2 linked regions of the Xenopus tropicalis genome follow. The protein of the gene in region 1 interacts with the protein of each later gene in a pairwise test. Links are inferred from orthologs where the notes say so. Each region holds a gene or a part of one and is shown on either strand. Other genes may lie near its edges. The genes, in order: adarb1 and prkra.

Region 1 (3,818 bases):
ATACTAATTTTAATTATAAGCAAATTGTAGCCTAGAACTGAGCACTGGTCCAGACGTTTTTGCAAACAAATACATTTAAAAATCGCTATTAGTGTGCGTATTAGATATATACAGATTATAATTATGAAAAGTGATGCTAATTCATTGTAATACTTACAGTGTGATCTTCTATGTGATGAAAATAGTCTGTTTGGCAAACAACTTACTTGTTTTTAACCGGGTGCTTACACTTTCCATGCTGTTTGCAAGCCAAACCATCCAGTGGTGACTCATATTGGGAGGAAGCATACCACCCCACACCAGCAGATGCCTTTAACAGATTTAGTGCCACTTTACTCTGCAATAAATGTGTTAAAGGCATCTGCCGGTGTAGGGTGGTGAGTCTCTTCTGTGTGATGGCATGATACAACTTCCATACATTTCTATTTCTTCTTTTTGATAAAAAAACAACATCTTCAATACTATTATTTTCTTTGTTAATATATTGGGCACGGTTTGTTATAAAATGTTTCAGCAGTCTGTACAGAATACAGTTCTTTTTTTTTTTAATTTCTGCATCCAGCTAAGAACTAAAACTTGTTTTTGCTTCAGCAATTAAGCTATCATAGTATTTATTTACAGAATCTATTGCTCTGTAGAAATTAGCAGCAGAATTATGGTACAGGTATGGGATCCCTTATCCGGAAACTCGTTATCCAGAAAGTTCCAAATTACAGAAAGACCATCTCCCAAAGACGCCATTGTAATTATTATTAGTTATTATTAATATTACTTATTATTATTATTATTATTACTTATTACTAATATTATTATTTGTAATCAAATAATTCACATTTTTTAAAAATGGTTTCCTTTTTCTCTGTAATAATAAAACAGTACCTTGTATTTGATCCCAATTAAGATATAATGAATCCTTACTGGAAGCAAAACAATCCTATTGGGTTTATTCAATATTTAAATGATTTTTAGTAGACTAAAGTTATGAAGATCCAAATTACAAAAGGATCCCGGAAAAGCCCAAGTCGTGAACATTCTGGATAACGGGTCCTATACCTGTACCAGTCTTGTAAGAAAAACTTAAGTTTCACTATACTTTAGATGTGGATTTCATTTTCTTTAGCTTGGCACAGTGAATGTAATTTTTGTTATTTCGAGGTATGGGTTCCATTATCTGGAAAACCATTTTACAGATAGCTCCGAATTACAAGAAGGCCATCTCTCATAGAGTTCATTGTAATAAATTTCAACAAATGTATACACTTTGTTGAGATCCTATTACACTTTTAAATTGCATCTAAATTCTCTTAACTGTTGGTAAACTTGTTTCAGTGTTCTCCTCAGCCCCTTTTATCTGGGTGCATCTCGAAGCATTTTGTGTAAGTTGCCCAGCTCACTGCCTTCTGGGGAGAACACTGCTTTACAATTAGTGAGGAAAGAAATACAATGCTTATTCCTTTTTTTCTTTTGCGTTCACTGCCTTTTTTTTGACCAGTATTTAACCAGTAATCTCTTAAATGTCTTTTACATTAACCCGTAGTGACTGTTTGCCTTTTTTTGGTCTGTTGAGCGCCAAAAAGAGTAACCTATCAAGCTTTTGCTGGAGGATGTTATAAATGAAAATTTAGCAATTATTCCATCAACTTTGTTGGCTGGGTAAAGTGGTGTGTGTTTGCTTAGTTTATATAAGATTCCTGAGAAGAATAACCTTTGTGATAACTCAAGTAATGAAAAGCCCCAATTTATCTGTCTTTAAATATCCATATCTGGGTGTTGTGTGGTAAGATATTGAGATATCCATTTCACTGCCTGTGTAAAGAGATATAAATTAGAATAAAATATGTAGTGAAAAATTAGAATAAAAACACCTCTTTTTTTGTAATCATTGGTTTATATAGACAGTCATCTATAATGATCAGTATTATTTTAATGTTTGCCCGTAATTATTTACTTTTCTCAGAAACCGCCACCCTTTTAATAGGAATAAATAAAAACTCTTTACTACTTGTAGGTAGTAAACGTAAAAATAACCTATGGGATGTGTTTTAGGTATTGAATTGTAAACCCCATAACATTGTTGTGCACCTTAGATATGCAGTAATACCATTCTGTGACCACACAACACTGAACCAGTGACAAAAGTAGATAAAGGAATCTATAAATTTTGCATTTACAAGATCCTGCGACGAAGGCGTTGTAAGTTACTCTTTCTGGGCACTACAGGTTCAAGCAGCGCCGATGTTAAGGAAAATCGCATGGATGGAGCTTCAGCAAAAGAAGGAAGTGGCCAAGCCACCGGGGATGGGGCTCAGCTTTCCAATGGGAGTGAGGGAAGCAACAGCAGAAAACGGCCTTTAGAAGAAGGCAACAATGGCCATTCCAAGTTCCGTCCTAAGAAGAGGAAGAAAATTCCAGGCCCTGTGTTGCCAAAAAATGCTCTAATGCAACTGAATGAAATTAAGCCTGGCTTACAGTACAAACTTATTTCTCAGACAGGACCTGTCCATGCACCTGTCTTTATTATGACTGTTGAAGTAAATGGGCAAGTTTTTGAAGGTTCAGGACCTACTAAGAAGAAGGCTAAACTTAATGCTGCCGAGAAGGCTTTAAGGTCATTTGTGCAATTCCCAAATGCATCAGAAGCTCATCTAGCAATGGGCAGAACTCTGTCTGTTAATACTGATTTTACCTCTGACCAAGCGGACTTTCCAGATACTCTGTTTAATGGATTTGAAAAACCAGAACAGTCCGAGCATGTTTTTTTCTTGGGCTCTAATGGAAATGAATCCTTTAATTCTGCAAATGACTATAGCTTATCGATGATTGGAAGCAGTAATTTTATTCAGTCTCCCCTTCCAACACCATCTTTGTTCCCACCAGCTAGTGGAAAAAATCCTGTAATGATTTTAAATGAGCTTCGTCCTGGCCTTAAATACGACTTTGTCTCAGAGAGTGGTGAAAGTCATGCCAAGAACTTTGTGATGTCTGTAACTGTAGACAATGAAACATTTGAAGGATCTGGAAGGAACAAGAAGCTTGCAAAGGCGAGAGCAGCACAGTCTGCCCTTGCATCGCTTTTTAACATGCACTTGGATCAGACCCCATCCAGACAGCCTATTCCAAGTGAAGGCCTACAATTACATTTACCCCAGGTATGAACAATATTTATTTCCTTTAACCCTACTTTTACTTCTGTTTCCTTTACTTTTCATTTTGCCAAAGTCGCACTCCTTTGTCAACACTTTGCAAATTGGTACCTGGGGCAGTAACCCATAGAAACCAGTGAGTACAATTTGTTGAGCTGGCAGGAAAAGGAGTATAGAAACTTTTTGATTGCTTTTTTTTATTTTCTGATATCTGCAGACATTTTAATATGTTCCATTAATATCAACTAATTTAGCTTTGTCTTGTTTTCAGTGCAGTGTTTAATAATAAATATATCATAAGATCAGAAAGCTTTGCGCAGTAAAAGTAAATTGCTTTCTAGAAGATGCAGAAAGACTATATGATGGTAACAGGTGTACGCATTTTAATTTTGGGGTTCTTCGGACCTTTAAATAAAGTGAGAGGCCTGGCTAATACAGATGTGTGTGGTAAGCTTAGATGTAAGACTTAGTGCAGTTTTCATATTAGGCAGTATGTTAACTATGAAACTAGACATTTATTCAAGAGATATATGGTTTAATTACGAGATATATATGGTTTTTGTTATATCTGTTTCTAAGGCTAGTGCCACACGCTTGGTGGATTCGCTGCTTTTTTTTCTTGCCTGTCCCAGAACTATTGCATTGTCCCGGGTGCAGGCATGTTTTATTTCCTAA
Region 2 (4,481 bases), about 8.7 Mb from region 1:
ATCCCTGCAGCAGGATCTTGACCAACTGGCAATCTGGGCAGCTAAGTGGCAGATGAGATTTAATGTGGATAAATGTAAGGTCATGCACCTGGGATGTAAAAATATGCAAGCCCCGTATACCCTTAATGGGACTGCACTAGGCAAATCCATAATGGAGAAAGACCTTGGAGTCCTTGTAGATAATAAACTTGGCTGTAGCAAGCAATGCCAGGCAGCAGCTGCAAGGGCAAACAAGGTTTTGAGCTGTATTAAAAGGGGTATAGATTCACGGATTACAGAGCACTGGTAAGGCCCCATCTAGAATATGCTGTTCAGTTTTGGTCTCCAGTGCTCAAACGGGACATGATTGAGTTAGAGAGGGTCCAGAGAAGGGCAACTAAGTTGGTAAAGGGTATGGAAAGTCTCAGTTATGAAGAAAGACTGGCCAAGTTGGGTCTGTTTACACTGGAGAAGAGGCGCTTAAGAGGTGACATGATAACTATGTATAAATATATAAGGGGATCATATAATAACCTTTCTAATGTTTTATTTACCAGTAGGTCCTTCCAATGGACACAAGGGCACCCACTCCGTTTAGAAGAAGGGAGGTTCCATTGAAATATTCGGAAAGGATTTTTTACTGCGAGAGCTGTGAAGTTGTGGAATTCCCTCCCCGAATCAGTTGTACTGGCTGATACATTATATAGCTTTAAGAAGGGGCTGGATGGATTCTTAGCAAGTGAGGGAATACAGGGTTATGGGAGATAGCTCTTAGTACAAGTTGATCCAGGGACTGGTCCGATTGCCATCTTGGAGTCAGGAAGGAATTTTTTCCCCTCTGCGGCAAATTAGAGAGGCTTCAGATGGGGTTTTTTGCCTTCCTCTGGATCAACTAGTAGTTAGGCAGGTTAGATATAGGCATTATGGTTGAACGTGATGGACGTATGTCTTTTTTCAACCCAACTTACTATGTTACTATGTAAATGGAAAAGGCATAACGTTTCCCACCAATGAAAAGGCCACTTAAAGAACATACCTGAGCTAACTATATCACCAATAACCAACCGAAAAGTGAAACTAGGGTTATGTACTTCTCCTTCTGCTTTTATTAAGGTGTACACGGGAGGGTTACCAGTCTTTGTTCCAAATTCATGCAGCTGCTGAATGGGGGTTTTGCACGGATTGGTTGCAAGCTTTGCTTCCACGCTGAGATAAGAAAGTAGGGTATTAGTGGAGGTATAAGGTACATTTAAGATGCCAATATTCAACCAGCACAGGGAGTCAGATATTAAGCAGAGGGTAAACTGCAGATATTCCATGATTATCAAACTGAAAGCTGAAAAGAGACAGTAGAGGAAAGCAAATAACTCAAAAACTATGGAACATAAAACACGAAGAGCAATTTAAATGTTGCTAAGAGAAGGACATTCTATAATATATTAAAAAGTTAACTTAAAGGGCACCATCATAGTCAAAGTTTTCCCTGCCAGGGGTGTACGCAAATTGAGCCCACACATGTTCCTAGTGACCGCAATGCCACCTGCACTGGGAAGAAGCCACGTTGGGACTCTAAGCATGTGGACAATAAGGTTTGCCACAGTAGTGTGATTAAGAATCAGGGTTGCACACTTGTGCATAACCTAAAAGCCGGCAGACTCACTCATTACATGTCTGACCAAACATGGCTGCCAGCACCAACTTCCTCTGCAGTGTGAGCTCAAGTAGCCTGAACCTCCAGAGGTTTAAGCAGTTTGACTAGAATAGGTACCCGTTCAACGAGCAACTGCCCCTCAGTATTTGCTGCCAGTTTGATTGATCTGGGTAATGTAAGGTCACAACATTTAGGATATTTTATAGTTCATGAAAGTATTGTCATTTTCTATCTGTAGCCTTCTGAACTCTCTGTCATCCAGTCAAGTGCAGTCCTCCATCTGCCCATGGGTAATTTGGACTGATAATACTTGTGCCACCAATCTAAAGAACAGGCTGCACAGGCACTTAATGAGAGAAACCAAATGAAATTGAGCAGCAGTAGAAATCAGTAGCAATGCAGAAATGAAAGCACTGCGAGTAGCCCTGCACTAGAATCACTGGGCACCAGCAACACTTTGCCATTAAGTGACCACAGTGACCCACCTCTTTTCTAATCAATGTCAATTACAAACTGCAAGGATCAACACTCAAAAGATGCATTTGCCACTAACCTAAATGGAAAATAAAGATCAGTGTGACTATGAAGAGTTTCATTCATCCAGGTCATGGTGTATCTAGTATAATTAAATCTAAATTAACTGGACTTGTTAAGTAATCATTGAAGATGTTTCACTACTCATCCGAGCAGCTTCTTTTTCCCATTACACAGGTATAGGAAAAGACCAGTTTGTGTGTTTGTGGGATTCCTCCAGTTTCCTCACACACTCCAAAACATACAGGTAACTGGATCCCAATCAAACTGTCCTTGTGTATGTGTGAATGAAAAAGGGGACCTTGGATTGTAAGCTTGTAATATAAAGTCCTACAATGTACAGATACCCAACACCAAGACAACCATTAAGCAGATTTGGAAGGTTGAAACTATGCCCCACAGACACTGTATGAACTACAACTCCAGCATCACTATATCAAACCTCTAGCGGCAGCTCCCTGACCCCAACCATAGACAAGCTCTAATCTCTCCCCAAGCACCTGGTGGATTTTTCACAGCTCCTTTTGGGCGCGTCTGGAAACCTCTCCTGGGACATAGCAGAGGAATGGGGAGAGCCCTACTCTCCTAGGCTTAGAGCCGCGCAGGGAAGGTTTCTCTATGCGCCGGCTGTAGGCTGCACTTCCGCTTCCGGCCTCCAGCTGCCTGTCAATTTCGCTAGCCGCGGTAAGAACGCATGCGCAATCGTTAAGCGATAGATATAAACTACAATTCCCGAGGAACCGCTTTCGTGAAACTAAAAACAGGATTTAGAGGGAATTGTAGTTATTTATTTATTTATTTTTAGAAAACTACAGGGCGACAGGGGCAGGTGCTTGTTTCCTAGGTTACAGGGAGCGTGGCTTATGCCTAGTAAATCAGCGCGCTGCCTGGAATTGCCTGGGTTTCATTGGCTGCAGCAGAGTGGGCGGGAAATGGCAGCTGGTTCATATCTAGAGCCAGGGAGTACCTGTCTCACAGCGTGGTACGCTCAGTGGGAACGGAGGTCTCTGTTAAGCTAACCCTAATACACTGGCTTCAGGGCGATGGCTCTTCGCGGAGGTGCCTGTTGTTTTATTTGCTGATTTTCAGCGGGCACGGAGAGCAAGAGTAGGCGCGGACTAAAAAACATCAGCTGGGAGACTCCTCCGTTCGCACAGCCCTACCTGCCCCATGTATTGCCGGAGTGCCCCGGGCTTTCCCTGGGAGATGCGCCTGGCGCTCCCCGGTCCGTCCGTATGGGGCCGCGGTCAGCATCATCTGCTGTCGCGAAGAGTTCGTCTCTGTCAGCCCTTGGGAGCCCTGGTGTGGGGGGGACAGTCCGGGTGTGGGGGGGTCGGGAGAATAAAAGGAGGCGCGCTGGTGCGCAGGCGCAGCATGCTTTCCCTGAGCTGTGGGATGTGCGTGTCAGCGAGGCCCCCGACATTCTTCTCTGGGAGCGGGAGGGCTTAGGGGGCTAATACATGCTTCTCTGGGAACGGGAGGGCTAAGGGAGCTAATACATGCTTCTCTGGGAACGGGAGGGCTAAGGGAGCTAATACATGCTTCTCTGGGAGCGGGAGGGCTAAGGGGGCTAATACATGCTTCTCTGGGAACGGGAGGGCTAAGGGAGCTAATACCGTACATGCTTCTCTGGGAACGGGAGGGCTAAGGGAGCTAATACATGCTTCTCTGGGAACGGGAGGGCTAAGGGAGCTAATACATTCTTCTCTGGGAACGGGAGGGCTAAGGGAGCTAATACATGCTTCTCTGGGAACGGGAGGGCTAAGGGAGCTAATACATGCTTCTCTGGGAACGGGAGGGCTAAGGGAGCTAATACATGCTTCTCTGGGAACGGGAGGGCTAAGGGAGCTAATACATGCTTCTCTGGGAGCGGGAGGGCTAAGGGGGCTAATACATGCTTCTCTGGGAACGGGAGGGCTAAGGGGGCTAATACATGCTTCTCTGGGAACGGGAGGGCTAAGGGAGCTAATACATGCTTCTCTGGGAACGGGAGGGCTAAGGGAGCTAATACATGCTTCTCTGGGAACGGGAGGGCTAAGGGAGCTAATACATGCTTCTCTGGGAGCGGGAGGGCTAAGGGAGCTAACACATGCTTCTCTGGGAACGGGAGGGCTAAGGGAGCTAACACATGCTTCTCTGGGAGCGGGAGGGCTAAGGGAGCTAATACATGCTTCTCTGGGAACGGGAGGGCTAAGGGAGCTAATACATGCTTCTCTGGGAACGGGAGGGCTAAGGGAGCTAATACATGCTTCTCTGGGAACGGGAGGGCTAAGGGAGCTAATACCGTACATGCTTCTCTGGGAACGGGAGGGCTAAG

Evidence for each region.
Region 2: the proteins of adarb1 (region 1) and prkra interact in binary tests that used the Homo sapiens proteins (3 or more experiments, as listed by UniProt). The link is inferred for Xenopus tropicalis from reciprocal best matches to the Homo sapiens genes ADARB1 and PRKRA.

What each region holds. Positions count from the first base shown.
Region 1 is NC_030685.2:55,408,311-55,412,128, forward strand, and holds part of adarb1 (double-stranded RNA-specific editase 1), read left to right. Parts: intron 1-2,174; exon of another isoform or gene 2,175-2,220; coding exon 2,221-3,149; intron 3,150-3,818. UniProt on the Homo sapiens protein: Catalyzes the hydrolytic deamination of adenosine to inosine in double-stranded RNA (dsRNA) referred to as A-to-I RNA editing.
Region 2 is NC_030685.2:64,075,146-64,079,626, reverse strand, and holds the start of prkra (interferon-inducible double-stranded RNA-dependent protein kinase activator A homolog A), read right to left. Parts: upstream 2,827-4,481; 5' UTR 2,721-2,826; coding exon 2,665-2,720; intron 1,186-2,664; coding exon 1,016-1,185; intron 1-1,015. UniProt on the Homo sapiens protein: Activates EIF2AK2/PKR in the absence of double-stranded RNA (dsRNA), leading to phosphorylation of EIF2S1/EFI2-alpha and inhibition of translation and induction of apoptosis.